4 linked regions of the Drosophila melanogaster genome follow. The protein of the gene in region 3 interacts with the protein of the main gene of each other region in a pairwise test. Each region holds a gene or a part of one and is shown on either strand. Other genes may lie near its edges.

What was found.
Region 1: the proteins of fest (region 3) and TwdlM interact in a two-hybrid assay, tested with the Drosophila melanogaster proteins (one large-scale study listed by BioGRID).
Region 2: the proteins of fest (region 3) and Hip1 interact in a two-hybrid assay, tested with the Drosophila melanogaster proteins (one large-scale study listed by BioGRID).
Region 4: the proteins of fest (region 3) and CG8854 interact in a two-hybrid assay, tested with the Drosophila melanogaster proteins (one large-scale study listed by BioGRID).

The regions. Positions count from the first base shown.
Region 1 is NT_033777.3:26,616,144-26,621,439, forward strand, and holds TwdlM (TweedleM), read left to right. Parts: upstream 1-2,974; 5' UTR 2,975-3,023; coding exon 3,024-3,038; intron 3,039-3,115; coding exon 3,116-3,967; 3' UTR 3,968-4,081; downstream 4,082-5,296. Other genes in the region: TwdlP (TweedleP), read right to left, coding at 4,519-5,181.
Region 2 is NT_037436.4:12,766,115-12,775,375, reverse strand, and holds Hip1 (huntingtin interacting protein 1), read left to right. Parts: upstream 1-1,802; 5' UTR 1,803-2,065; coding exon 2,066-2,101; intron 2,102-2,156; exon of another isoform or gene 2,157-2,632; intron 2,633-2,792; coding exon 2,793-3,214; intron 3,215-3,273; coding exon 3,274-4,004; intron 4,005-4,060; coding exon 4,061-4,170; intron 4,171-4,234; coding exon 4,235-4,981; intron 4,982-5,037; coding exon 5,038-5,473; intron 5,474-5,539; coding exon 5,540-5,944; intron 5,945-6,001; coding exon 6,002-6,489; 3' UTR 6,490-6,814; coding exon of another isoform or gene 6,815-6,865; 3' UTR 6,866-6,944; downstream 6,945-9,261. Other genes in the region: CG32106 (uncharacterized protein), read left to right, coding at 1-1,379; Vps13D (vacuolar protein sorting 13D), read right to left, coding at 6,815-6,865, 7,024-8,139, 8,197-8,691, 8,750-9,058, 9,117-9,261.
Region 3 is NT_033778.4:19,339,449-19,347,510, forward strand, and holds fest (wurstfest), read left to right. Parts: upstream 1-2,360; 5' UTR 2,361-2,635; coding exon 2,636-2,923; intron 2,924-3,119; coding exon 3,120-3,503; intron 3,504-3,564; coding exon 3,565-3,743; intron 3,744-3,805; coding exon 3,806-3,982; intron 3,983-4,116; coding exon 4,117-4,263; intron 4,264-4,333; coding exon 4,334-4,597; intron 4,598-4,775; coding exon 4,776-4,878; 3' UTR 4,879-6,306; downstream 6,307-8,062. Other genes in the region: Rgk1 (Rad, Gem/Kir family member 1), read right to left, coding at 6,605-6,649.
Region 4 is NT_033778.4:12,223,008-12,232,040, reverse strand, and holds CG8854 (uncharacterized protein), read left to right. Parts: upstream 1-2,730; 5' UTR 2,731-2,933; intron 2,934-5,194; exon of another isoform or gene 5,195-5,696; 5' UTR 5,697-5,697; coding exon 5,698-6,337; intron 6,338-6,796; coding exon 6,797-7,335; 3' UTR 7,336-7,580; downstream 7,581-9,033.

The sequences.
Region 1 (5,296 bases), on a different chromosome or scaffold from region 3:
TAAAATGGAGAGCTCAAGCGTCGACGACAATATGCACTATAAGGCAGACAAAAATGTGTTTTTTACTGCGCAGAATGCGTACTAAGGAGACCTCGAAAATAATTTATTGCCTTCTTGTGGGTGCCAAGGATCGCGCAAAAAGCCGCAAATTTATTTGCCGCTCTTATCGCTCTATCCATGTAGAAATAAAGCATAGAGCATATTTTTTTAATATTTTCTATATTTTTTCCTATTGTTGATTTCTTATGCCATTTTCGGCTGATGTGCACAAACAGAAATCTCTTGTATGGCTAACTTTTTAATAAATAATCTCGGCCATTTAGCTGGTTGCAAGCAAAAAATACATAAACACGCAAAATAATAATCAGCATCTGTCGTCGTTGCCGTTTGATTGTCAATACAAAATATTTATATCGCTAACACAATTTGCCAAACAAATTGGCCAGCTCGGCGAAATTTGATTTGATTTATTCCTTTCAGCACTCTCGGATAGGTTTTTTAAAATATTGCGTTTTTTTAGCATAAGCTTTAGTTTAGTTTCCATGGTTTGGTTCGGGTTTTTGCGCTTGAAATAATTGATATCGGCTATTTGCATATCAGATTTAATATATTTGCATATATTTCTTTTGCAAAAGAGAAACGATTTTGCGGCAAGCCAGTCAGCTTTTTGGGTAACATTTTTTGTTTTTTATTTGTCGCCAGGCATGCGGAAATAATTTTGGCAACTAAAACTCGTATCTAGAGAAGAATAGAAACGGTCTGCTCGTAAAAGAGTTCGAAAAGCCGGCAGCTCCAAACATTTTTGCAAAAGAAAGGCTAGAAGCAAACAAACTCGTTTAACTGGGGTTTAACTGGCAAATTTGTCGTTCGTAAATAAAGCTTATGATTTAAGGAAATTACTAATGCTCCAATTTATGGTGAGGCGACAGATTTGATTGGATTTTTGCACCTGAAAGGCACCGCCCGGTTTTGACACCAGCCAGGTGATAGCCGAATAAATTAAATGCACAATTTTATTCGTTTCGACATTCTGGTGGGTGCCAGTACAATGGCAATAAAATAATATAGGGGCAGTCTTGTTGTCTCGAAGAGAGAAAGACTAAAAATAATGGATAAAATAATAAACAGTGTCAGATTTTGTAAATAGATCGATTGACCCAAAAGGCCATTTACATAAAGTGGTGCCAGAAATTCCCTCCCGTAGATGTTTTTTGTCCGCTTGAGCCGTTTTTTTTTTATTTATTTATTGATACGCCAACGTCGTCCGACCGCTATTATCTTCGATTTCGTGCTGGAAACTCTTTTCCCGCGTTTTGACCACTTTTTATGTCGCTGCTGCGTGCATCTTTTATGTGCGTGTGGCGCCCGAGACCTTGAAATTGTGGCTGGGTTGTTTTATTATGCTTACATTTGATTAGTTTGCATATGACATTGCCACCAGCGACTAACTTGGCTGAGATGCTGGCCAATCGGCGAGCCGCAACAGTTGGCAGTGGGCAAAAGGTGGGGCCGCACACAAAGCCAAGACAAATTGTTTTTGACTTTAGGTTATTGCTTCGAATGTGAATCTTAATTGGATCCCGGCCAGCGTGGAATGGGGGGCATCATATAGCATCATTAGATATAGAACCATATAGAACTTGTGTGTGTCCGTCACTGAAAATGATATCATGGTTGTGATGTCTTAGCGGATTTCCTAACTGACCCCATCTTCGAGTTACTCATCGCTATAGTTATCCGTGATATCAATCAATATATATATTAGTCATAACCGCGATTGGCATTCGCCACTATTGATTTGCAAATCGGTTCGGCTATCTTAAATATGGATCTTGGGTATTTCTCCTAAATTATGCAAATCAAATCAGTTTTCAGCGGATTTGCTGCTGCCTCTACCCCCCTTCTGCTCGAAAACTTTGCCGAAATAAAATAAAAAACCATAATTTTTATGATATCAATAAACCATGATGAAAAACGTGATAATCGCTGATCAGATTAAATGGTCGCCTGGCGCCAGCTGATTACCGCCGAATTCCGAATAGCTTCGGGTGCTGGTCAACAGTAAAAAACCTCAAGGTCGCAACGGTTGTTAGCTTTATGGCTTCTATTTTGCGAAGCCGTGTTTTTGCCACAGGTTAAATGGCCAAGCGACGAGCTCCGGACAAATGGACAGATGGGCCGTCGGATAGATGGACGGATGAATGAATGGATGCGCAAAAAGGCTGGCGAAAATTGATTTCTATCCATTTCAGATCCATTGTTTTTCAACCCTACCACAGTCCACAGTCCAGTGTTCGGGTTTTATATGGCCAAACCCTAGAGCAGCCAGTTCCATACACCATACACCATACACCATACCATACCATATACCATATACAATATTCCAAATACCAAAGGGGGACGCAATAATCGCTGGGGATTCCCAGCTAGAAATATGCGGCTGGATCAACTAAAAAGTGTAGAAAAACCGAGTCGTTTTCGAACTCGTTTGGATGCTCCGCTAAATGTTTTAGCATACAAAATATGAAGAAAATCATTTCATTTACTGAAAGCATGACCATTTATAGTAGTGGCTTTTGCTAAACGAGTTTTCAGCCGTTTCCTCCGCCGAGAGCCTGCTCTATTGGATTACAACTTGACGGGTAGGGTCGTGTGCCTAAAAATTTTCGATGATGGTACTACGACTTGGACTGAGGGATCGTGGAATTAGCATAATGTCGACGCCAACATTTGCAAGAATAGGGCGGCCAGGTATCGATGCGCTTTGTTCACGTCGGCTTGGCCATTGTTTTATCGCACAAGCTTCGTTTTTCGAAGGTGGATAGCATTTCAAGAGACAAAAGCTGCCGAAGAAGTTACCAAAAAATGCTGCGGAGCCAACAAATACAACGATGGTAAAGTCTGCATGAACTTGAGCGCAGTTTAGTGACACCGATCGTTGGTTTTCGTATAAATATTGGACCTTTCGGTGATGCAAACGTCAGACACAACCAAGTGGTCAAAGTCAAAGAACTAAATTCAAAATGCGTGCCTTCATTGTAAGTATACGTTCGATCGCCGACGAAATACTCCAAAAGGATACCAAGGATTACAATGCTGTTTTCTTTATCTCCAGGTTATGTGCTTGGTGGCAGTCGCCTGCGCCGATAAGCTCGGCTACAACTACCAGCCCGTGGGACACTCCAGCTCCGGACTGTCCTTTGCTCCTGGAAGTGGCAGCATTGGAGGTGGCTCCATCGGAGGAGGCAGCATCGGAGGAGGCAGCATCGGAGGCGGCAGCATCGGAGGCGGCAGCATCGGAGGCGGCAGCATCGGAGGATCCATTGGTGGTGGTTCCATTGGAGCCAGCATCGGAAGCGGTGCCGGTCTGGGTGGTCTGAGCAGCATTGGTGGTGGAAGCATTGGCAGCATCGGAAGCATTGGTGGTGGTGACGCCCTCAGTGCCCCCGTCTCCTACAACGCCCCTGCCCCAACCGCCGAGCTGGAGAAGGAGTTCTTCACCTTCACCGCCAACGAGCAGGACTTCGATGAGCCCCAGCAGCTGGAGCGTGTGTCCTCTGCCCTGAACAAGGCCCTGCGCGTTGTCTTCATCAAGGGACCCGAGAACCGTGGCCTGGAGAACGCCGCCCTGGCCCTCGCCAAGCAGGCTGCCCAGCAGGAGACCGCCATCTATGTCCTGAACAAGCAGGCCGATATTGGAGATCTGGCCAACAAGCTGAACGCCATCCGCAGCAACAACAACAACAAGCCCGAGGTGCACTTCGTCAAGTACCGCACTCCCGAGGACGCTGCCAACGCCCAGCGCGCCATCCAGGGTCAGTACGACCAGCTGGGAGGATCCAGCCAGGCCCACAACGGTGGTGTTGCCCCCGTCCTGAACTTCGCTTCCGCCGCTCCAGTGCGTCAGGCCGCCGCCCAGAGCCCCGACAACTCCTACCTGCCATCTTCGGTCTTCCGTCGCGTCTAAGTCGCTCGTTTCACTCCTTTCGGAATCGAAAACGCCAGCGATTTTTGACTGATATTAAATCGTAGTTTTTGTTGACTAATGCTTAAATAAATTCAATTCTTAAATTTTAAAACCAATTTGACTTGTTGTAGTGCATTTGTAAAAACCAAAAAACTTTGCAGGCTGAGTTCATTGGGAACGAAACTTCGCAAGTTCGGATTTATTTGCAGCGAAATATTTTCTTGCAAACTTTGAAAGCGCACATAAGTAGAAGCACTTATATATTTCTTAGGAACTAGTTTATACTTTAACCATATTCAAAATTTAATACCAGTTTATGGCTGCTGAGATCTTGGGTTTTGAACAAGTATTTTTATTTCTTCTTTCTTCTTTCTTTCTGTTTTTATTCGATTATCGCTGCTATAAATAGGTATACAATTTATTTTGAAAACTGTTGCATACTTATGTTGCTTTCGTCAATTTTTAAAGGAATTAACCAAATGAAAATACAATAATTTACATAACCAAATTAGATAACTTTTATTCGAAAACAACGTTTAACAATCGATTTTCTAGTGACGCAGGCGACTCAGGATGTTGGCGGGTAGGTAGTTGCTCTGGGGCACCTGTTGAGGAGTAACGCGTGCTGGAGCAGCTCCCTGGGATGCAAAGTTGATGGCATTAGCCACGCCACCGTTGATGGACTGGCTGGAGCCGCCGAGTTGATCGTACTGCGATTGGATTGCCCGCTGGGCATTGGCAGCATCCTCAGGTGTCCTGTACTTGACGAAGTGCACCTCGGGCTTCTTGTTGGCATTCTGGCGCACGGCATTGAATTTCTGGGCCAGCTCGTTGATATCAGTCTGTTTGTGCAGCACATATATGGCAGTCTGCTGCTGGGCCGCCTGTTTAGCCAGGGCCAAAACGGCATTCTCGTAGCCACGGTTCTCCGGCGACTTGATGAAGATGACGCGAATGTTCTTCTTGACCGAGGCAAGAGCCCTCTGGAGAGCAGCCTTATCCTCGAAGTCGTCATCGTTGGCATAGAAGCTGTAGAACTCCTTGTGAACTGACGCCTGGGGAGCGGCACTATAGCTAACTGGTCCCGCCAGTGCAGGGACTGGGGATACACCACTGCCCCCAATACTGGTTGTCGCACCTTGTCCGTAATTATATCCGGACAAGCTACCGGCACTTGCCGCTGCCACAATGCTTAGAATAATGAGGGCACGCATATTGACCCGATGCCTACGAGATATTCTAGACGAATGAATAATATAGCATTCATTATCTACCTTTTATACCGCCAACGCGACGACGTTTAAAATTAGACTAGAAAATCTAGTCAAT
Region 2 (9,261 bases), on a different chromosome or scaffold from region 3:
TCACCAGACTCAATACCAATCAATTTCAAATGGCACCAGCGACTACAAGACACGTTCGACTACAAACCCAGAAAACAAAAAGGACGAAGAATCGAAACTGCAATTCTTCTGTTGGCCAAATGAACGGTGTATTTGTTCTAGCTTCTTCGCCATCTACTAGAACGAATACAGCAGAGCAATCTATTGAAAGGAGAAATAGGAATCTGCAGAATCATCCAGGCGTTTCTGATTCTTTGAGTAACAATCCACCATCCTCAGAAAATAGACGAAAAGCCCCATCCCAAACATCTTACCCAGTACTTAGACGTATTCAAAGAAATGATTCAAACAATTCGCAAGGCGGAAGATTCATTTCGGCCAGCAGCCAATATCCTGACCAGCACAGACAAGATGAATACCTAGCTTGTGATAGAAATAATAGTGACCAAAGCCATCGCGATAGTCATCAAAACGAGGACGGGTCGCATAATTCAGCTATGGTTGGAGCTTCTGGGTATTCTACTGACTTAACTTGGACAGATCCACCTCCGAACTCCCAATTACTAGCTCCCAATACATCGACTGACGTGGAAACACTGGAAACGGTAACCCTAATGCAACCTCGAAAACTTCGTAGTTGTGAAAGTGCTGGGATCAGAAACCAGGCAAATATCAATGGGAACACCGTTCTTATAGAGACAAGAACTCCCTGTAACAGGGAAATTCTACTCCAGACCTGTGGACGACCGCCCTGTAACTCGTGTCCTTATCAATACACGGGTCTTCCTCCGAGTCTCCATCAAGGATTTACGAAGCCACCGGATCATATGCTACAACCGCAGATCTCTGTGAGTGCTCCACAAAATGTCACTCCTTTCGATGAAGGGTACCTTATAGATCCGCGGGATCAGTGGATGCCCACTAAGTCACCAGCTTCAGCACCAGCCGTGCAGCATCAATTTCAAATGAAGGAACAATGTCAGCCGGATCATGGATCCTATCATCATTTTCAGGAATCTGTACATACTTCAGACCCAAGTTCCTCTCAGGCCAGAAACCCTGACTACAATCCTCAACTAAAAGAGAACATTCGAATGCTTCCAGATGGATTCTATGAACGCACCGTGAATAAGTATAATATAACACGCATGGATTCCAACTTCCAGCCACCGGAATTTTCACTGCAGCCAAATTTTGTTCACGGAGAACAGCATCCTACTTTCAGACACCACGCTTGTCCTTATAGCAATCAATATCATCATCCGCAACTGATGATGACATCCGTTCCAGATCCCAATCGACGTTACATTCCACCACAAAACCAATACCCAGCCGAGATGTTTTGGCCACAGCAAAATGTACATTTGGATTACTATGATCAATCGGAATACCAAATTTAATCCAAACAGTTGGAAGAATACATTAAATTAAAATTACTTTAAAAACAAATTAAAATTGTCGTTCTTTTATTTAAAGTAAAAATATGGTAGCAGATCTATAAATATCGAACAAAATCTATCTTTTTAGAAAATCAGTACACAAAAATTTCAAAAACACATTCTAAAGCTTTTTTTTAAACCATCGTATAAAATCAAATTAAATTAAATTTTTAACTTAACTGAAGTTTTATTGAAAGCGTTCGATGTTATAATTTAAATATTGGTTCATTTAAGTGTATTTCAATTCAAATATCCTTCGATTTAATGGAAAAAAATAAAAATTTGCAAAACATTTTTTTTCGCGCTCAAAATGGTGATGCAAGAAGTTGATGACTATCGAAACGAATCGATAGGGTAAAGCCCGCATATCGGAACACCGCCCAGCTCTATTAACTTTTATCGATAAAGGAAAACAACATTTGTTTATATGACTAATTTACTCTTACACTCATTGTTTCATACACGCACACGATCGGAATCCGAATGAATACGAACGCGACCAATACGAAAACAATGGCCAACATTGTTGATAAGATAAGATAACTCCCGTTTCCAATGTCTTTGCTGTCTTTGCTCTAATGCACATATATCGCGCTGCGAATGATTCGAATTTGTTCAGCAAGTACGCCAAGAATTGTCAGTAAACAATGGCAACTCACGCCGAAAAGGAGTTCTACCACCTGGTACGTAAGCCCAAAGGAAAGCCAAGAAAACCGCCAAGAATACCCACAGCAGATTATAGGCACACGGATGTTGTCATATCATGTGCATAGTGTAAATACCTAAATGTTTATGCACACAACTACAGGCGCGCCGCTCAAATATGCATAAACATTTCACTTAAGAAGTCAGCCTTGAACCAGATTATATGGAACAGCTCGAAATATCATCAGCTTTTCACACGACTTGCAACACCACAGAGACTACACTACATGCTAATCCCAAGTTTCTCCGCTTCGGATGACCCAGAAAATTAGAAACTGCAATGAATGCTATGCGGACTACATCCACTTTGATCAATTGTTCAATGTGCACACAAAGGCCTTTCAAATTTTTTGATTATCAACCCAAATTCGGCACGATAAGAAGTGAAATCCAGTATTTAGATTACCTTCTGTTATCATAAATTCATATCAAACACATGGTGTAGGTGTTTGGAATCTTATTTTTAAAAGCATCGAAATGTTTGCACTTCCAAACTAAATAGTCGATCAGTGAGTCACCCCCTTTAGATCGAATTCCACTAAAAAGTATAAAACTATAGATATCGTCCGCCAAAATCCGTCCATATCTTATAAGCTGAGTCAGTCACTTCTTCGAAAGTGTACAACAATAAAAAGCCATTTAAACTATAATATTTACATTTCATTTCAGAACGTCAGCGTGTCCAAAGCTTTAAATGGCCTGGAAGCGCCACTCAAAACCAAACATGCCCGCTCCATTATTATTATGATACACAAGGCCAAAGAGGCCAAAACATTCTGGATGATCATCTCCCGGCAGCCTTTGATGCAGAGTAGATTTACTGCCTGGAAGTTTTCGCATCTGCTGCACAAGGTCCTGCGAGAGGGTCATGAAAGTGCCATCCGCCACTCGCAGAGCCACAAGAAGATGATACTGGAGGTGGGAAAAATGTGGGGCCTGCTGCAGGACGATATTGGATGCTGCATACAGGCGTATAGTAAGCTCTTGGCCACAAAATTAAACTTCCACGACAAAAATCGAATGTTTCCCGGCACCCTGAACATTTCGTTCACGGAACTCTTCATTGCTGTGGATAGGGATTTAAATTATTGGTAAGTAAAAATAGATATATATTACTTTCAAACTACTGAGACAGAACCATTGATTCCAGTTTTCAACTGTGCGTGGAAATTTTCGACTACTTGGAGGATATAATTGCGCTGCAATTGACGATATTTTCATCTATGGAAAAGTACAGAATGTCGTCGATGACACCGCAGGGACAATGTAGATTAGCGCCAATAGTTTGCCTTATCCAGGATTCCAATGCGTTGTACGATTTAAGCGTTCGGTTAATGTTTAAACTACACGATGGTGTACCATACGACGTTGTTTCCGGACACAGAGATCGCTTTCACGGTCTGTTTTTAAAGTTGAAGAGTTTTTACAACAACGTGCGACCGCTTCAGTATTTCAAGGACCTAATAACAATCCCGGAATTGCCGGACTCAAGTCCTAACTTCAAGTCCCAAAACGATTTCACCAGTTATGTACCGCCAGTGGTTCACGTTCCCCAGGAGCCCGATCCGGTTGTTGAAGACCTTGTGGATACCAACAATCACGAGCTGGAAGCCTTCAGTCAAGCCCAGCAGCAGCTTAGCATGTTGGAGGGTATAATCAGCGAGAAAGAGGCTAGCATTGAGGAGCTGTCATTCAAATTGGACGCAATGCAAAAAAATTTCGACGCACTGCAGCAAAGCTACAGACACGACGTTCAGGAGTTGCAACAGAACAATACTGTGCTGTCAAATGATCTGGTCTTGGCGAGAGAAATGTGTGCCACCTTTCGGATGCAAAATGACGATCTTGAGATGCAACTGAATCAGAACCCAATTCTTTTACGTAATTAAATGCTTATTAAACATAATGAAGTCATATAAAAATACCTTGTATTTCAGAAAAAGCTATGGAGGAAGAAGAAAAGCACAAGTTGTCGTCGGAAAAGTTTAATAAACTTAAAACTCTATACACAAAGATTCGAGATGAGCACATTCAGCTGCTGAGAGAGGTATGCAGAAACACAATATTTTCTATTTCCTATACTAATATTCATTCATATACTTTTATATCAGCAAAGTGATTGCAACAAGTCCTTAAATAAAGAGAAACAAGTAAACTCACAACTATTGTTGGAAACTAAGGAGCTTACCAATGAAATTTCCAAAATTAAAGTAAACGTAGAGGAAAAAGAGAAAACAAACTTGATTCTGCAAAAGCAAATCGAAGAGCACAAGGAGAAAATAGCACATCTTGAAGCAGTCAAAAACGAGATGAAGGAGAAATTCGATGATGTGGTTAAACAAAAGGAAATTCAGGAACTCGATATTATTTCCACTTCCGAAAACCTGAGGCTAAATTGCCTCAAAGTCGAAGAGCTTAATGGAAACCTCAATGACACCCTGGAAAAACTGTCGAACGCCGAAAGCCAAATAAATGCAAAGACCGAGGATATCGAGAAAATGCTAAAAGCTTTTGAAGCGGAAAAGGCATTGCTCTTAACTCAGATTGAACAACAGAGTGTTGAAAGTAAAAGCCATAGTGAAGCTCAAAACGCTCAATTGCAAGAAATAATGGATAACTTGGAACAAAAGGATAAAGAGTTCAATGAAGTTAAGCTTCAGCTGTCCAGCGCAGAAAGCCAAATCAGCTTAAAGGCATTGGAAATTCAAAACAATTTAAAGGCATTTGAAGCGGAAAAATCAGTGCTATTAACTAAAATAGAGCAGTTAGGTATAGAGCATAAAAACAACAGCGAAGCACAAAATGCTCAATTGCAGCTAACTTTAAACAACTTGGAGCAAAATGAGAGTGCATTACAGGTAAATGAAACCAATTTAAATCAAGAAAATTATAGAAACTGCTTTTCTTTCTTCAGCAAACCCAGGAAATTGTGAATCAATTGAGGCAGGAAAATGCTTCAGCGGGTCAGCGTAACGAGGATTTGCAAAGCAAACTCTCGCTTACTGAGGTAAAACTAACCCAAGCAACACAGCAAATTGATGCCGTGACAAGTTCGTACCAAATCTGTAGTACCGATTTGAGTGAACTCAGAAAATTGGTGATCAAGACTGTAAAGGAAATATGCAATTCGAAGTTGAGCGGATCGGAACAACAGCCTTTGGATGCGGTGCCAAACATAATACGCGAAATGGAGACCATTTTAAATAAGTTCAATAACGCATCGGCTATAAACTATGTTGCTTCAACCGAAGGACTGCAAAATGTTATGTATCTGGGTTATGTATTTATAAAACTATACGATCAATGTGATGTTATCTACAAAACAACAACTGCAATTGAGACAGGTCAGGGTAAGTTGATAACACTAAAAACATAACCACCTACAGCAAACTAACTTTGTATTACTTATTTTGCAGAAATTTTCTCAAAAACAAATTTGTTATGTACCGATATCTGTCAATTGTTCCAATACTTATTAAATAATGAAACAAAAGAACCCGAGAGACAGAAAACAATCACTGATATACAAACAAAGCTGAGAGATATTGAAAAGCTGATTGAGAAAATAAAGGCATCATTTGAACAGAAGATTGATTTAGATAAGCTGCTCGAAATCGAGCTTCGCGAGATGGACGCTGCGATTGATGATGCAGCCTCCAAAATTACAGATCTACTGGCAAAGGCTCGAGAGAAGGACAACCAAACCAATTTAGAGGTAAACGGAAAAATAGTGGATGCGTGTACCACCTTGATGGAATGTGTCAAAGCTCTAATCCAAAAATCTCGTCTCCTGCAACACGAAATCGTGGCTTCCCAAAAAGGTAGCTAACAATATTTTTTAATTCAATGAAGTTACTGACAAGTAATTACTCTTTCAGGAAATGCGAGTGCTAATGAGTTTTATAGGCGGAACAGTCAGTGGTCAGATGGTTTGATATCCGCCTCGAAAAGTGTGGCGAAGGCAGCCAACTATCTGGTGGAAGCTGCAAACAAGGCTATTGAAAGTGAATCTGGCAAGAACTTTGAACTCATTGTGGCTGCCCAAGAAATTGCTGCCTGCACGACCCAAATGGTTATTGCGAGCAAAGTCAAGGCTGAACGTAATAGTCAAAAGCTAACCGACCTCACAAAAGCCTCGCGAAGCGTAACGCAGGCAACAGGAACTCTGGTCGCCACCGTGAAGGATTGCAACTCCCAGCTGGAGCAGCAGAGTGAAATAGAACTTTCTAAGCTAACGCCATCACAGATTAAAACGATGGAAATGGAAATTCATGTTAAAGTACTCGAAATCGAACAAGCTCTCCAAATGCAACGACTAAAACTCTCATCGTTTCGTAAGGAGCATTACAAGAATGCCGATTATTAAATACCATATTTATTAATGTTACTAACTTTACAAACATTCTTTTTTGTATTAATGCCCGTCATGACAAATAATATATCTACACAATATTTACACTGCGGTCATTTTATCCTACAATGAATCCGTAATATCTGTTTATAGTATTCCGTGTCGATCGCTTTTTGATCCTTGATTTATATCACACCATAGTATGTGGGTTCATTATTTCTTAAATGTTTATTTTACTTACTACTTGAAATTAAAATAGCACTTATTGCCAAAGAAAATAAAATGTAACATTTGTTGTCAAAAGGTTTTTGTTTATTATCACGAACCGACCTATTGCATTTTATAAAACGGCATGTTCACGTTCATCAAAGACACTTTTAGCGTAGTTTATCTAAAAGAAAAAGACAAGTATGGAATATATGTGATAATCATTTCAAAATTTGTAAAAGTAAATAAATTATATGATAAACAAAGTCTGCGCTTCAACAATAATAGTTTATTATTGAAAGATAATTTCTACTAATTTCTGCTAAGATGATTTCTACTTACGCATCTTGATGCTGCCTCAGCACATTCCTCGGAACGACACCGTATCCTGGGCCTGGTAATCTTTGGAAGATTGGTTGATATCTCGATGTAGTGACTGGCCGACGCCCTGCTGCTCGTGGTTGGCGTTGTGCCGGCATTCGTTACCACTGGATGGCACGAAAGAATCTCACTAACATGACATTCAAACATAATGGTTGGATTGGCGTCGCTTAGTGAAAAGATTCGTACGTATTCTGTAGAAACCAGCAAGCGCAATCTAGCCTCCTTGTCGCTCCATAGATTGGGTTCATATGAAATTATCTTCTCCGAAAAGTTCTTTTGATTGATTAGGTACAGATATTGCTGCCCCTTGCTTTGGCGATTGGAATACAATGGCAAAAGACCACCAGGAGCACCAGTCACACATCTGGGTAGCCTTTTCCTTTCCGGAGCGTTTCTGTGACTATCTCGGCTTGTTTCACGAACGGCACTGGCAGTTTCCGATGCCAGGTCCAATACACCAATGATCGGTTTGGTGACAGTGCCTACTAAGCCCTTTCCCAATCCACTGAGAAAGCCAGGAACGCCATCGGAAGTGGCACCATCGTAAGTGTGTCTTACAATACTCGTTACTCCGCCCAGCAGTCCAAATCCGAGACCCTTCAGACCCGCTGCAAGGTGACCGCCGGATGTATTGGACTGCAGTTCCAGAATGCGTTGCCTCGTCTCATTGTCGTGATCATCCAGCACAACTTTTCCCAGGCTATCGGACAGCGTTTCTGTTAGCTTCGCCGTCGAATTCGATATGCCATGCGTAACATTTTTCACCAAACTCTTGACGGAGCCCTCAAAAATCAGTCCGGATACTCCTTCCGAAAGATCGTTGGCAAATCCCAATGGATTACCAAGGAAATCGACGCTGCCCAAAATTGCAGCCGCATGCCATTTGACTTGGTTGATGTAGTGCTTCTTCAGCTCCTTCCGATAAACGTCCATCGTCTCAAAGTGCAATTTATCCGAATACCTGTCGAGTTCAATCAAGGCATCTTCGAATTTTATTAGAGTGAGTCCAAGTGCCTTCTTGGTTTCATGCAACTCCACCGGCAACTTTGAAGAAGTGAATGCTGAAAGTCGAACCTTTAAAGAGAAAATTGAGTTGTTTAAGACCATTAAGTCTAGATTTTAAAAAATTACCTGAGTTGCGCCAATACTTAAGTTCTCAAAATAGTATCTCTTCATATCCTGCAGAAAAGGCTTATCATCCGTGTTCTCGAATTGGTATTGCACACTTAAGTTCTGACGGTTGATCTTGCCGTAGCCCAGGAATGAAGCCACTTTAAGTATCAGCTTCTCCTCCAGACTCGCCGTTGAGGGTTTCAAGTCCAGAGTTAAGTACTTGAAAATGATTGCATTCTTGTTGGGCGAAGGTAACATTTTCAGTTTGAGAACAACTGCATTTTGTGTTTCTTCAAGATCATTCGAAGTTTGCGTGTGCAATGCAATCGGACTCACAGCATCCAGCAATTGATTATCGATTTGTATATAGGCAATATTCAGATCTAAGGAATTCTCCAAAGCACTCTGTACAATATCACAATTTATGTGATCGAGGCTGATGAACATGATTTCCTCACAAGGCTTGCGAGCTATGATGGATATGCCGATTCCTTTAACAAGCTCCACATTAATCTAAAATGATATAACTCTTAGTTTGTTATACGTTAGATTTTTTCATAGTCTTACTTACCAAATACTCATGCACGAATGATACTTTTCCCTTATCCGTAATTTGCCTATTATTCAGGGAAGCATGCATCCATAGTAAATCGGGAGTTAGGAATACTGAATTTTGTTTAATTTTAATATCACATATTTCGATCGTGGATATGGGTCCATCCATTTTCGTCGAAAGCTCCAGCTGTCCCGATCCAGGCCTTAGTTTCTGTGCAACAATGTGTTGTCCAATGGGTATTTGTTTACTCGAACTTGCCCTGTTTTCCGTTCTGCCCACGACTGCCTCATAGTTGGGCTTCAGGCCGCTCTCTCCAAATCGAGACTATAAAGTAAACCATTTTAGATTAAAGGTTATCAATAAAACATAAAGAAATCCTTACCTGTACGCACATATTGGCATGGCACATCAGCCGTCCATTCTCAAATCTCCATGTCTGCGTTGTAACTCTTTGCTTATTGGGTGTTCGGACCACCAAGTTGGTGAACTCCATGGGATTCGGAGCCTTCTCCAGATCGAGTACAAGT
Region 3 (8,062 bases):
TTTAGCGTCGCGTGCCTGTCGGTTGAGATCCGTAAATGTATGTGCATCGGATTCGGAATATCTGTATATATATATATATATATATATATATATATATATATAGTGGGTGAGTGTAATTCCATAGCTGACAGCGGGGCGGCATTATCATCTAGAGGCGACAACAAAGATCTCCCGCTGAATGACCAGACACATTTATTTGTTTACACAGCTCGGTTGCCGTTGCCTCATCTTGACAATCAATTAATTTCCATCCCGTCCCATCCCAACCGATTCCAACCCAGTCCATTCAATTCCCGAGCACCTCCTGCCCCCCAGTAGAAACTGAAGGGGCTGGTATTGTCGACAAAGGCAAGTGGCGTCGTTGGCGCTAATTGTTTTTAATGAAAATTGCTAAGGATTTAATAAGGAAGAAGGCGCTGAACAAATGGATTTTAAAAGCCATTTCAATTATGCCATAAGTTTCTCATCAATCTGAGTGGTCACCACTACCACTGGCACTGCCACTCACGCGAACGGTGACGTCAAAGATTGCAACACTGGCCAAGTCGGAGTCCTATGCACTTTCTATATATAGCCGCTACACTAGTATGGATTTTATGATCTTTGTCTGCGCCAAAGTTCACTGACTGCAGAAGGCGAAAATAGTTTTCCACATTTTAACGAGCTTCGGCAAGTAATAGCGAATTTTCTCTATTCATTTGGCTGATGTTCTCCTTTTAGTTTTCATATCAAATGTGCCTTTGCCTTTACAAAACGAGCGTAATTACAACTTGAATTCAAAATTTAGCAAACTATTCCAACGACGCTCGCTGAAAATCTGAATTTTCAGCTGTCTGAATATTTGCGAATATTTTTAACGATAAATACTGAAAAAGGAGGTTAACCAATTTGTTTCACTTGCGGCTGGCGAAAGTGACAACGGAAAAATCACTTCGGTGGACGGGGTGATTTTTACAAATGAGTTTCCGTATTTCATTGAATGCATATGCGATTGCATTCCTGCTATAAATATATTACACATTTTCACTTTCAGTTGGTGTTGCTCAAAACTGAGTCAATGCGATGCGTGGGCGGAATTGCAGCTGCAGTGGCTGAATTTTAATGATCCGACCAAGTGCCAAAAATAAAATTTAAAAAATATGCCAGCCAAGTGTCTAAATAAACGCGTCCATTTAAATAGATATGATGGCGAAAGTGTCAATCTAAATCTGCGTGGGCCGATGGCCAAATGCAAGGAGTCAATGCGCTCATTAAACAAACTAATCCGCGCAAGAAAAAACTGAAATCAAGAGGCAAAATCAATCATGAGAGCGGAAAGAGTTGACAGTCGTATACAAAAAACACAATAGTTCCGGAAGTTCAGGGACTTTGCACACTGAAGGTGAGTTAGTGAACCCACAAAAATGGAAATAAAACGACCTTGGGGGTTTGCCAAAATTGTGGCTAATATGTCAACATTCAGGCAAATAAAATGGCTAATAACTGACAAGAAAAACGATTGAGCAGCTATTACTAAAATATATTATGATTTTAGTGTTTATTCATTAAGAAATAATCCAAAAATTTGTAGCTGTTCGACTGGAAAGTTCTATAAGAGCAGTTTACATTTCGCAGAAACTTTAAATGCCAGTTCTTATTTAATATGTCAATTTAAAAGTTTCAGTTGAATGTATAATACATTTAAATTGCGTGATTGTTTGACTTTGACAACATATTTAAGCCACGTTAAAGCAACAATTTAGAAGGGGATAGCTTTTTATTAGCAAAGTACTAAACTGTGCTACGTGCAAACATCACTTTTATCTGACTCTTGACATTTCCTGCCAACGCTTCAAAACTTTGCAACTCTGCGCACTTGTTCAGCATTTAACCAGCATCGATAAGAATGACGGCACTTTCTCTTGCACTTTCTCCCGTTCGGAAAATGCAGTTTCCCAATAAATCTTAAAGCCTAAGTCTTTTGCTGCAGCTTATAGCTGCGTAGAAACTATACAAATGAGCGGCAATAAATTGCTGGAAGCTGCACTGCTGTGCGTGTGTTCAAGTCTATTTCTCGATTCAATTACGAAGGCGAAACTTCGTTTTCCGGCCACTAAAAGCGAGGAGATGGGTTGCACTACAGTGTCGTCCTTAAATGCGTTATTTTGAATTCAATCAGCTTTTTGCCGTCTAAAAGTATGCAGCACTAATCGGATATACGTTGAACTTTCACGGGAAATCTAAAAGTGCCAGGGCTTCAAAGGGACGAAGGGAAAAGTAAAGTATCGTGTACTCGATATTACGACACTTTCAACTATCGAAAAACCCGGTAGGCCAGTGAGTGTCAGAATTGATGGCACATCCTTCCATCGGCACTTGAGGCAAGTCATTCTTTCGAAAATTGTCGCAGCGAGCAGTGCTCTTGAAAAGTCATAAAAAGTAAAAAATTAAATTCCTCTCATTGAGTCGTTGTGTTCCGTGTCGAGCAGAGTACTTTGATTTTCGCTGTCCAGCACGCCGCGTGTGCCGTTCTCGTTTAGATCCACATACCAAAGTCCAGGCCCCGTTTCAACCAAGAACAACAACACCATCATCCATCACCCATTCGATTCCATACGGTTTTCCCATAAATTTTGAACAATCGAATCTTGACAAAATGGTTACCGACGCCCAGGACACCGTTGCACCTAAGACCAGCAGCACCAAGGAGGTGCAGTGCCAGCACTCCGGCGCCCTGGATGAGCCCCATGTCGAGGAGCTGGCTCTACCGGGCCCCGCCCCCTTGGCCACGCCCAAGAGCGGCCGCGTTGGCATCTTCAATGCCGAGGACTTCTTGTCCCGCGCCCAGTTGAACGACAAGATCAATAACATCTTGCGCTCGCCCACCAAGGCTCCAAATGGTGTGCGCCAGCGTTCCGTATTCACCAACAACAACCCATCGCCGGTGAGTAGAGTTGTCACTTCTCCATAGGATTGCCTTCATTTTGAAGGCATATGCAAAAAATCGTCTCTTTGATTTTTGCAAGTCATTTTTGCAAGTCATATTTTCTTAGCATTTTTTGCAAGTCATCTTTTCTTCCCATTTTTTGCAAGTGATCTTTGATGTACCATGTGATACCTTTTCCCTTACCAATCCCTAGCAAGCCACCATGCGCTTTGTGTCATCGATGAACAGCCCATTGGCTCCACGTATGAGCAGCCTTTCGCTGACTGGCGGAGTGAAGCGCGGCTTGGAGCGCGGCAACAGCAGCAGCAGCATGGGCAACAGCGCCAGCGTGGGCACCAGCACCTCCGTCCTGGCCAAGGAGTGCTCCAGCCAGACAAACAGCTGCGGCCGCAGCTACATGAATATGGGCATGCACGCATCTTCCCACTCGGGCTTCGGAGTCCTGCCGCAATCTGGTGCCGGCTACGAGACCATGGGCTGGAACATGGATGCCGGCAATATTACGCGCAGCGGCAAGAGTCTAACGGGACGCTTCAACTCTGGCTATGGCTATGAGGTGGATGGAGCCTACTGCATGGTAAGTGCTTTGATTTATTGCCCCGTGTTTCGTATTTTAGAAATATGCGATATCTACCTAGCCACAGGCACATCACACCCAGCAGTTCCCATCGCCAATGCCACCACCACCTTTTGCTATGGATCGCGTCAGCTCGCGCACTTTTGAGTTCGAGAACAACACACCACCACCGTGTCCAGGATCTGGACCGATTGCCATGTCCAATGGCACCATCCAGTTGCGCCTGCGCGAGGGCGTTCGGTAAGTGAACGTGGTAGGAGATTTATCCCTTGATCATCATTCCAAATCATTCCCGATTCCAGCATTGACATGACCCTGGACAAGGCTGTCCGTGTGCTGAATCAGCGCAGCATGGTTGCCGCCGCCTTATCGCGCAACTGCAGCAACTCTGCCCTCATCCATCCCAATGGGCGCATCTTGCAGAGCGGCTCCAAGGTGGAGATCGTCACCTACGACGGAATGAAGGCCAACAACTTTGTGTAAGCTTAGAAGTAGAATCGAACCTTTACTTTAAGAGTGGCAAACAACTAGTATTTTGGAATTTAAACTTGTACTTCTCATTAGATTTTCGTATAAAATCTATGCAACTATAGCTGCAATCATTTTCTTCCAGTCGCTATGCCAAAATGTGGTACAAGGGCGTTAGCTTCACCAGCGAGTCCTGTGCCCTCATCTATCTGGTGGACACAGCTGGCACTCGCACCACCACCGATACCTTCACCGACCTGACCAAGGACTACACCTTGGCGGTGTTCTATGAGTGAGTTAAGCACGAAATTTGCCCAAATCAATTCGCCAAGCTCCTCTTTCCAATTAACAACACCCTCCAGCGATTCGCGCCACGGCCCATCCTTTGTGTCCGATGCCCACGACGTAATCGCCAACTCCACCTACAATTGCGCCGAGGACGGCACCGAGGTGTATGACATCAATGGATTCCGCATCACCCAGGCGGCCGACGGCCTGGTCAAGGTCAGCCGCCAGCACAGCAAGTGCCTGATTCGCACCAGTCCGGGCAATGGATCCGCCACCCTGACCACCACCGGCATCCACTGCACGGCTTCGTTGGGCAAGACCTCGCACCTGTTCGTCCGGTGAGTTGGCCACTGCATCCACACCTATTTGCAATAATGATGCACTCGAAGAATGCATTGTTCTCGTCGTATATTTATTCGATTATAACACTGATAGTGTTTAATTGATTCCATACTTTTGCAGTAATTCAGTTAATCGGATATTTGAAGATTCCTTTTGTTCTTTTTTTTTTTGCAGTCGTAATGAGAAGCGCATGCACTTCGACGGATCCTGTTTCATTGTACGCAATGCTGGTCACTCGGCTGGATTCAATGAAAACAACCTGCTCATTGTCTACTAAGTACCGCTCGCACCATGGGATGTGCATCGCGTTGGGTGGCCATCCAAATGCCACCTATAGCCACCCAGCGTGGGCAATCGAAAATCACCCCATTATACCACCACCACACACACATCACAGAAAACACACACACGCAAACCGACTCAAGCGTCGATATAGTGACCCCCCCAAAAAAAAAAATCAAAAAATCCAAACAAAACAACATTGGAAAACTGGGGCCTCGGCGTGGAGAGGGATCAGATCATTTAAGAAAACCTGGTCTTCTAAACAAAAAAAATTATAAATGTATAACTGCATTTAAGATGAAACAGCTCGAAAAAATGCGCGAGCAACGAAAACTGGCGATCCTGATCCTTGAAGGATTGCTTTTCGATTGCTCGACGTAGGCGCAACGCAAACACTAGGGAATTAGTTTTAGATAATCACACTTACAATCTCTCTAGCCCTCGATATCCTTGTTTTTATACGCATACCGTTATTTAGTACAGGCAATTCAGGTGGAATAGGCTCTGGAAAATCCACCTGTTGCCTGAAACGCTGGCCAAGACAATGCTATTTCGATCAGGGCCAGCGTTTGGTGTTATAAAAAGAATGAACTTGGTTCGCGTTTCGCTTCTTTTCGGCCCTCACAGTATAGCAAAATTAAGTTTCCAACGATTTTTTAAACGTTCGACACGTACTTGAAATGCAACAAATTCAGCAAGATTGAAAATCGAAAGTTGCAAAATTTCCACAAAAAAAAAAAAATAAGCAAAAATTGATAAAATCGCTGATATCAAAATTAGCCTCTGCATGATAAAAAATTAGCTAACAAACGACGGCTGCTTTGGCCAACGTAACACCAGTGACAATTCAGTTAGTTCTAAGTTACCAGTTAAGATTAGTTAAGTTACTACAATCCAACCATGTTCATCCTCACACAACACACACACACTCTACAGCGCAAACGTTGCGTAAAATGTAAAATGAGTGGACTTAGTGCTTAAATTTCCAAGTGTAGACGGAATAGTACCACTACCACACTCGTGGAATACAGATACACGCACACATGCACAAGCACACACACACACACACACACACGACAGGCCAAAGTGAGAAATTGTGACTGAAATGGAATACAATTAATTAGCTTACGAAACAAACGCTTATCTGAAAAAGGCAGTCGTCTTTGAAAACAAAGTTAAAACACGTGCACACTTTTAAACACCATTCCTTAAAAAAAAAAAAGTGAAACGCCTTGCAATTATACCTGTGTAGCCTTACAACAACAATCTTCAAAACTCTAAATTTAATCCTCATGTATATCGAAATTTATGTGCACAAAAATCGATGTCAAAAAGTAATACATGAAAGTCCTGAATAAAGTAAATTCTATCTGCGCTACTGTAATAGATTCGTATAATTTTGTTAATTCTCATGGGTTAAATCTGGATCGAGATACAATTTTCAGCGGCTCCTGGCAACCATATATGACCTCATACCTTTCCTCTGGCATTGTAAAAGTACAAGAAAATTGCTTAACGACTACAATTCACATTACAACCCTGTTGGAGGAGTTGTGGCACCTGAAGGGCCATCAGGACTTGAAATCTTTTCGGGCTTAAAGAGTTTGCGAGCTATGTAAATATTTAAAGGAATGAATTGCACGTTTAAAAGTAATTGAATGTTTGCCAAAAAAGGTTTTCATATACAAATATTATAAAAGATGAGAGGTCTTCATGTTTACCTGCAAACAAATCCAAAAGCACAACGATATGGGATCGGCAGTCATGCAGACCAAGCTCTCCAACAGACTTAACCTGGAGTTGGAGCCGGAGGAGCGGCCCGTTGGCAGTGGCTGTTGATAGAGATTAGTGGATAATGCTGGGGCGGAACTATATGCCACGGCTGACTCTGTCATAGGAAGAAAGTGGTTCCATGGTTAGCGGGTACACAGAGAGAAATGGCGGGTGAGCGTAAGCGAGGCGGTGAGCATGGGCAGGTGCGGAAGCCACAAGGCAAGGATACTCAAGCGGCGGTGATGGTGAGTGTCTCCAGCTCAGGCGGATACAAACATCTAAAAATGCGTTTACTCTAGTGCTGCGTATTAAATAAAGTCGCTAACCGAACCCAGCAACCCGAACCCGGCTGAATCCTGAATCCGAGGTTATGTGGCTCAGCAGCTAGGGAGCCATAAAGGGCGAGACCCACACACACACATATGGCATATTCAATGCTCACGCTTGCGTGACTTGGTCGGAAAAATCCGTTGGATGGGAACGGGGGGCGTATACGGTGCCATTTGCCTCTCGCACCCGTGCTCAACATCAAACGCTTTTCACACTTAATTGGGCGTAAAATTAAATCAGAATTGATTAAAACACTTGAATGACAGCAGCAGTCGAAGCCAGAGCTCCGGTGCTATATGGTCCCGAATTTGAGAACCCGGCCAAAAAGTCTAAGCATAAACAAACTTTTTGGTTCCCATTTTTCCAGCTGACGCATGGCACGTAGCATCTCATCTGACCGAGTTTTCCACCCAAAACCCCAAACTCAAGCCCAAGCCACCCCCACCCCACTCCTCACCACCCATCGACATCCTCTCAAAAAGGACTAATTGCTGCCTAGAAACTCCTCTCTTCTTCCGCCTTTTGCCTTTAGAAAGTTTATCAAATTCAATTTCCGACAAAAGTTGGAATGGGCTGGATAGGCAAGACATCAATTTTTATATTTTACCATTTAATGGGCTCTTCAATTATGCGAGTCTCGCTCCACCGGTATTACGTTCACATTAATACAAATTCAATGAGGCTTAATTCCTGGCCATAAATCGTCGCATGGATTCGTTTCACCTGTCTTCTTCTGTGGTCATGCAGCAAATCAATTCGATTTCCGTCGAAATGAAAGAGCCATCGCATTGCAACACTGCAACTGCCGACGATAATTGCATTTTAACCGATTTACCCAGGAAAATCCCAAAACTGAACAGACGGCAGACAGTAAAGGATACACCCATTCGTACTGCGTGAAAATTCAGCTTCGTTTAATTTAATGGGAAACGAATGGCCCACGGGGGGTAAATGAAAAATTATGAATATTTACCCCTGCGGATAAGAGGCTTAAATTCAACCGGCAAGATAAACGCAAAATACATACGAATTTGAGTAACTCCATCTGTCATGGTGAGCACTTCATCCGAATCTCT
Region 4 (9,033 bases), 7.1 Mb from region 3:
TTTATCTTTTACAGCTTAGTAGATTTGATGAGCTGAACAAATTTATGAAATTCTTTTGGGCTCTCATATTTCGGCTTAAATGATTAATTTACGTTTGAATAATTCACTTAAAGATGGATGTTGGGAAAGGGCTTCTTACATACTGCCAATTGTACCGAGTTTGGAAAAGGAACCACAAAAAAGCGTTTTGCTGACACACCAAATGGGAAGCACACAATTACCGGCCATATTTCTTCCCTGTGTTTCTCTGCCATTCGGTCGCTTTCCTTTTGTGGGCCGAACACGTGCAAAATGTCCAACACGGTGGCCAAATGGGGCCAGAGTAGCAAAAACGCCATAAATGCCCAGGTCCACTTACAATTATTGCCCCAATGGAGGGAGTCGTCGGTGAGTTGCAAAAAAAAAGAAAGAAAAAAAAACAAAAAAGGCCGCTGCCACAGAGGCTGCCCCAGCTATGAAAAATCGAAAGTGGCAAGCCGAGTGACAAGCGTAGAGCACAGCGGTAAAAAGAGTCATGTGCTATAGGCTATAGCCATTCGATTCGATTCGGTTTAGATTCGGATTTGGATTGGTAGATAGGTATAGAGGTATTGGTACTGGTACTGCGACTGGTATTGGGCTTGGGTGCAGCGCAATCTGCGACTCAGCATCTGTAATGCTCGCTGCAGCTGTTGCCAATTCACATTGGTTGTGGTAATCGTAATAACCAAAAGAAACTGAAGAAATCATAAAACGTTGAAAGATGCATAGTATCACTCACTTATAAGTGTAAGGAATTCAAAGAATTAAGCTATATTACATGTAAATAGTTCTTCATTACTCATGCAAGATGTTTTCATATCTTTAGGATACATAGTATATCTTTTTTTGATGGCAAGCTCTATGGCAGTACAATTCGATATGAGGCCTACAATATCGATTGAAATCAGATATATGTACTCCTCAATCATTGATGTTACTACTTGTGCAATATTGTTGCCAATATGAAATAGCTTTGCAGTTTTTCCTTGCCATCACTAAGAGCATGTTGCAATGTCGCCGGTGCGAAGTATCTGATAGATAGATACCGACCGAAAGAGCCGAGCAAACACACACACATACGTATTGGAATTGGAGCAGAGATCAACGAGTCTGCCGCCAGTCAAAGGCAAACATCTGGTTGCGGCACCGCTCCCTTACCACCCCCTTACCATTACCGGAAAATGCATCACCACCGCCCCCCGCTGGGTGGCCAGGTGCAGCCGGTTTCCTGTGCGTTGGCAACGTGTGCTGCCCAAGTCCCAAAACGACGTTCGCCATTAAAAGCGGCAAATTGCTCTGGCTCCAGAGCCTCTGAATGGGTCCAAATAGTGCATATGTACCTATATTGGGGTTGGGATTCTACGGCAAGGAATGTAGGCCTGATGAACTGCAGGCTGGCTAAATGAACTCAATGGATGGATGGATGCCCGGTGAAGGCAACAATTTTCGAAGCTCTCGTGACCAGAAATCCAAATAACATTCGAAAGCTGAATGGCATGAGCTTGCAAGACATTTATAGATATATTTCTAAAGATATATATGTATATAAATACTAACATATGATAGGAATTTATATTTTTAAATAATTTAAGAAGCATAACATCTGCGGTCGCTGAGATTTCGCAAATCCTTTAAAATTCCCCAAACAATTATTTGTTAATTGCCTGCTTTTTTATCTGGTGACACATCTGACCACAAAGTGTGGCCCACTTGAGCTGGCTTAATTGAATTGCTTTTGGTTTGGTCTATGGGCCATCAATTGATTGTTTGCACTCGACACTCACCGCAATAGGAAATAATAACTGACCTGACTGAATAAACACCATAAATATCGGCACGACTTTGGGGATACCACACAAAAAACCAACCGCCACCGCACTGAAAGTGAAAGCTTTTTTTAAGGTTTTTTCAAACAATTAATTTTATAAATACCTTTTGGTAGCTAACAAAAAAAACTGCATAAATTATTTGGGCTTTAGCTGCTGGAGATGGGAAAAGTCTCGAATGAGAAATGATGCTCATCACCTGTTTTCTTTTGATGAATTCAAAGGCGGCGCACATTGCCCCACCCGAATGTCGGTTCAAGTTGAAGTTGAAGTTGAAGTGATGCAATTTCTCTCAGCAGCGATTTCAATTTCTTTCCGCAAGTGAAAAAGACTTGAACTTGGCAGCTGCTTTTTTTTTTAAACCACTTACTCTAGCAACGGCTATGGTCACTATGCGGTTAAGTTGAATGAGTTTCGAAAATGGGTGTAATATATGTTGGGTATGAATCAGCTTCTTTTCCTAAATGATGACAGTTCAAATTACAATTTCTACTTTTTAACTGAGTTTTTAGATACATTTCTTTAGAGCAACTTCAATTCGTTGTGTAATGAAGCCCAGTTTTGCTTACATATCTATGGCATTTCCCTGGCGCAGCCGCATTTCAACGACTCTCAAATTTGCATATCAATGTGACTTTGAGTAGCTCTGCGACTGTGACATAACCACCTGCTGTCATTTTAATTTACTGCTAATTAATTTACAGGCCGGCCGAAATTACATCTAGCCAAAGACATAAAGACTGAATGGGATCTCTGATTAATTTTGATGGAAATTGGCAAGCGAACATGTGAGGTGAGCTCAGACCGAGGATCAAACCCGTTCGAACATGCTGGCAGAGAAGCGCCAAAGACTTGTAACTTGGCTCAAACCGTTGGCCAAAACAGTTGAGCGCCGGTCGAAGAAGCGAACACAACGCGGTTGCGCATGCGCGTAGATCATGTGCCGATCGGACGTGTTTGAAATTTACAATTCACAAATTGGCTAAAAGAGCGTTCTATAACCATAAAAGTGCTCTGTGACAAGTGACCGACGGCATAAAACAAATTCAAATTTATAACCAACACCAAAACCAAATAAATAACAAGGTGAATGAAACTGCCCAGAAAACTGTGTCAAAAGCAAAGAAAGTTGCTATTTTTTTAGTGTGGGCAGGCTGCCAAGTATCTTTTTAGGTGTATCTTCAGCTCCGTCTGATGTTCGTTTTCAATCTTTTGCGGGCTTGTCGAGATTGAGTGATCATCTGCGTGGGTCTGTGCCACATAAATTCGAATGCATCTCAGGTGTAATGTAATGATCACCATTTTAGGGCACTACGCCCAGGTATGCGAGAGAACTGTTCTTCTCAGGTGATTCATGATAAAAACTTCTGCTCGTCTCGCATACTTTTTTCAAAGGTGCGGCAGAAGATGTGACTTTTTAAATTCATTTTACCCTGCTCTCGATTGGTTTGATGTAAATCCACAATTGGGCATGATATCACTCGAATAAATATTTATATATTTGAATACTTAGCAAGGTCGATTGGCATTTGGCAAACGTGTTTCCAGTTATTTTGCATTATAATCCGATGTCGAAATATTTACCTTACCTTTGCATAATTTGTGCTGAATGAGACATGGACAGGTTGTTAATTATTACCTTAATTGAAATATTCGGAGAAAACCAAAGTCAATCGAATAATATTATGGAGGTGGGCAAAATTTTGAGTAGTAAAATATAAATAGTGGAATATCTTACCAGTTAATATTTATAAAGAGTGTTTGTGGTTGCTACCTACAAACCTACATTTATCTTAAATAAGTTTATTTTTAGTATACTTAAATTTAATCTTTATTTAAATATCCCATTACGGTCATCCGTCTTAATAGCATTTAATAGCCCGGATTTGCACAAATATTGATAGTTGTCTTTTATTTTAAGCCTAACTCAGGTGGCCAAAACCACTATCAATCACCAAACACGCTAACAAGCCCGACTGATTACACAAAGTAACTCGACGCGAACTTGTCACATTTGATATGCAAATGGCCAGAAGCCAAAGTCAAAGCGGCACTTTACGCTGAAATGAATCTGAATCCGAAATTGAATCTGTATCTGAGGTTGACCGGGGCAATCAGCCAACCGCAGTGAAGGAGTGGAAGTGCCGTCCGAAGATGCCAATTAATTAACAGGGTCTTAGGGGTTTTAAGTGGTTCCATATCCACGAATGTGTTTGCATATTCAACTCTAATTGCGTCTAAACACTGCGCATGCAATTAACTTTTCACGGTAAAGGGCCACGTGGCGCATACGTAATGCGATTTTCACCCACCAAGAACATTTATTATTCTTATCAATTTATTCATCAGTTATCTAGAATAATAACTGGAATATCAAGTATAGAGTGCAGAATTTGTATGCCTACATTGTTTGTTTTGGATTGACTACATTTTGGAGTTCCTTTAAATAATAAATAGCTTAAAAAACAAGCCCTAAACCATTTTCACTCGCGTGCAAATCACTGAAAGTGCATTCAGATGGGCTTCTGTGTGCATATTTTGTTTTGTTTGGATATATGCCATAAAAAGTTTATAGACCCTGAAAGATACACAGATAAACGATTTCATTTGCGTGTCACAGCCAAGTCACGTTGTTTTATTTTTTTTTCGCGGTACAGTTTGTGTATTTTATAAAAAATATATTCCCATCGGAAACCTTTTTTCTTGATCAGGCCATACAAATGTTAATCGATAACCGAAGAGATTAAAACAAACCAGGCAAAAACAAAACCAACTCAACATTTTTATGCAAATGCACAAATCACAAATGCCTCGAAAAGATTGCGCAAAACCCTTTTTTGAAATGGGCGTTTTATATTGTAGAAATAATTAAGGGGAAAACCCCGGAGAAAACCAAAAGCCTATGTAAAATATCAGCCGAAAAATTTGCCTAAAAATTTAATTTAATATTTTTTAAGGTATTTTTTTTAACTTTGCGGAAACAGATGCATTAATATTAATATTTTCTGTGCCCATTCATGCTTTTCATTCAGATTTCGGTAGAGATTTAATCGAATGAAAGAAATGTGAACCGTTTTTCGCTTATTACATGTTGATATTGTCTTTTATGTTAAATAAACTCTGAAATGAATATGCAGTTAAAAAAAAACTGAACGTTTTTCATTTATTTAGTTTTACAATGGAAAACTCGGTGTATTTTAATTCCATTTCGATGGCACTGCAACTGACAAGCCTGATCGAAAATCTAGTTAACCTTCTCGACAAAATGGAAATTTGTGTATTTTTTGCATGGCACTTATTCCACTTGATTTTGTATCGCATATTTTTATAAATTTATACAGTTGCCGACGGGCTCCATTTCAGATTTTAATTAAATAGTTTTTTGTTTTTTTAATGAAATTTGATAAGTAAAGCAATTTGTTTTCGATGCCCGAAACGGGTGGATGGGTTTTTTGTTAGTTTTCCTTTGACGTAAACCAGTCTGTTGGCTAATGGAATATCTCGGCTTATTGGCAATTGGAATGCCAATTGATTGGCCATGCTAAGTTATGCAGATCCATAAACCGGCTAATGGTTGCAATCTGAAGTCGTGAAGTGTAACACCTGCAAAAGATATAGCCAAGCCGGTGTGCAATTTTAAGCCGGCATTAATGCCGCGGAAAATTCGCGGCCAACGCCGAAGAACGGGTTCGATTCGTTGACGGAAGAGTTTTCAGTATTGGCCACAAAGTGCGTTGCGTAAGCAACCAGTTGATGCACTTGCTCATGGCTTTCCCACACCACGCGCACCATCTCCGCATTTTCCCAACCAATATTTATGTATTTTTTCTTTGCCTTTTTTTCTTACAGCATGCGTGAACGCAGTCAAACGACCCCAAGAAGGCGACGAGCCGGTCCAAAACAGGCCTTACCTGGTGGCAGCTCCTCGGAGGGAGTGGGCGCCCTGGAATCCCCCTATTATACCATTGACAACACGGAGGATATATATGGCACCACGCTGCTGCCCTCGCAGCGCTGCTATGTGGATCCCTGGGATCTGGAGAACTATGATTATGTTCGCAAGAAGATCGATGATGTCACCGGTGGCGGTGGTGGTGATGGTGATGGTGAGGCAATTGAACCTGCCTACGGAGGTGGTGGCAACTCGCTGACGACCAGTCCCACATACGGATACGGAGTGGGTGCCGCCGGTGCGGGTATGGGTGTGGGCATGTCGGCCACAATGCCACGCCCCCACACCCAAAGTCGCCGGGTGTCGCGTGCCCAGTGCCAACTTGAGTGCTGTGTGCCCCAAAGGACTCGTCGCCGTAGCCGCAGCGCTCGCAAGGAGCCACTCTATACGGCCAGGAGCGATATTTACGGTGTGCCCAGCCGCTATGAGGACTACATGGCCACCATGACCAGGCAGTTGCACCTGGACAACGGCGAGGATGAGGAGCCGGAAGATCTTTACGGCGAGGAGCAGCGGCAACTGTACAATGGCTTTGGAGGTGAGTGAAAAACGCAAATAGCAAATGCAAATTCGAAACCCCTTTAAAACTAGATTTTAATTTAAAATTCCTTTTGTTTCGTAATAACCAATTTATTTAGTTAGCTTTGTATGCAAATCACACAAATGCATTTAGATTTCATTTTCGATTCCATTTGATTGTTACAATTTACGCAGTGCGTCTTTTATGGCAATTCGATTAACGTTTAATTGCAAATCTCTGGCAAAATCATTGATTTTTGAGCTTGACTAATGAAATTTGATTTTCTGTACTTGGGGATCATTAATTACTTAGTATTTGTTATATATTTTGATTACTAATCCTTTTCAAACTATATGTAAGTATAAATGTTTTATTGATTTTAAACCCATCGAGTGCTTAAATATAAATGTAGCTGTTGTAAAATACCAAATGATTTTGATAGCTTTCACTAATGCCGTGTAATCTCACACGTTTCAGGCTTCTCCAGCACCAGTTCCACGGAGCATCCCTCCTCCATTGGCGATGAGCAGCCCGTTCTCCAACGACGCGCGGCCACGATGCAACGCCGCTCCGTGCCCAGCGAGATGCAGCGGAGCACCAACATGGTCGGCAGCTATGGAACTGCCCCCCATCCGCGGCGCAAGCGAAGCGGTAAGGCGGCGCCCATGGCCGCTCCGCCGCAGATCGATTTCCCCGCACCGCCGCCACTTTCGCCCGCCTACGACTACTGTAATCCCTATGCTTCACTGCCGTACTGCAGCATACCGGATTGCAGCGAATGCCAGCAGCAGATCTATGCCGCACCCTCCGCCCTCTACGGAACCATGGGCGGCTTGGTGGGTGGTGATGGCAGTCGGGTTAGGGGCTCATCGCCCCATCATTCCAGCGGTGGTGACTCGTCGCTCTACTCGGGAATTTACGCACGTAAATTCGGACTGAGCAAGAAGGGTCTACTGCAGATCGACTACTCATGCAGTTGGAACGATCTGGACAGGGTGATGCAGCGCCATTACTGAGATCCATGGGGCCGCATCCACGTGGATCTGGGATTTGGGTGCTTGGGTTAGGCTAACTACCAACACGTTTGCACCAATCGCGAACAGAAACCTTATTGTTATTTAAGTCATTTTGCATTACAGATACAAACACAAACACATACACACACACACACTGAAGACCAAATAACTGAAACATGTTTGTCGTAGATATATAGTGTTTTCATATTCATATTTACCGAATAAACATTTTGAAGTCAAGCATTAAGGATTTGTAGTTATTATTAAAACTTTCAAGGTATGAAAGTTTAAACTTGGCTATATGGAGAAGAGCTAATAGTTCTCAATAAAACTTAAAAGTAGAGTAAGACTGAACATAAGATAGTTTCTTTATTTCTTATAATTATAGATTTGTTCATAATATTAGCAAAGTTGAAGTCACTAATTAGGCAAAGCATTCAGAAACAAATAACTTGACTTGGTGACAAAGAAAAGTTCCTCTTTTTCCACTCTAATTAGTTGTGACGTCACTAGGCGAATGTTTCATGTTTGACAAAATGTTTGCGGGGGGAGAAATGAGAACACGGAAATGGTTTTAGCGCCGGACTTTGATGAATGTTTTGAGAATTGTCAAGCCTAAGTTAGTCGAACAAATGGCAAATGCGGCAGGTGTACGAACGAAATGGGAAATAAGTGACAGCAGGAAAGTTTTTAAAGCACACCTTTCGGTGTTGAATGGTGGAAAAATCCATTAAACTTTTCGCCAGCAAAGTGGGAAATGCAACTTCAGCTCGATTATCTCGGCCGGAGGTGCACAAATACATGGAGAGCGACCTGTTCAAAAGGGAAAATCAATAAGGTAAATAAAACGGAAAAGATTTTCCTCTATCTCCTTTGCTCTTGCCCCCTATTTCTCGCCATCCGCCCGCCTGCCCCCTTTGCCGCTGAATGCGATTTCAATTTCTCAATCCAATTTACCTTTGCAACACTGTATACACATCAGTACACAGACAAAAAATTTGTGTTGAAATGTATTTCAACTATAAAAAAGCAAAAAAAGGCAATATAAAACTTTAAAATCGTGTCATATTTTAAACATAACCATTAGAAAAATTTCCAAAAAAAACCTTTTTAAAATTTGATGGCAATTTGATATTTAAAAATATAAAGTATTATTATATATATAATATATTTTGGTTAATGCACATGCAAACCAGTAGTTCCTACGGAATTTTAAATAAAACAAAAGCAAATTTAAAAGCCGACTTTTTGTTTTCAGTGTAGCAATTTCAATACCAACACAAACACAAATACGAACCAAAGTACAAACACAAAGCACAAGTAAATCATAAAAAGCAGCAACAACAAGCATCTGCAAAGCGAAAATCTGAATGCACAAAAAGAAATGGGGGGTGGTGAAATGTTCCAAGTCGGATGGAAAAAAGAGACATAAAAAATGAGGAGCTAAGGTTTTTGCTATGCACATAAAAGCGCAAATATTTGCGCAACATTTTCGTCGTCGTCGTCGGCGATAAAAATCGAACAAGAAAAATATGCAAAAAGCTGAACAAGCCGGCGGGGAAATAAAAACGTCGCAGAAATAAGCCGAAGAATATAAAAAATATATATATGTATGTGTATATTAGTGTGGGTCCCTCTTTTTTACCGGGGATTTGCCTTTATTATTGTATAACGTCAAACATTTGCATGCGGCGACGC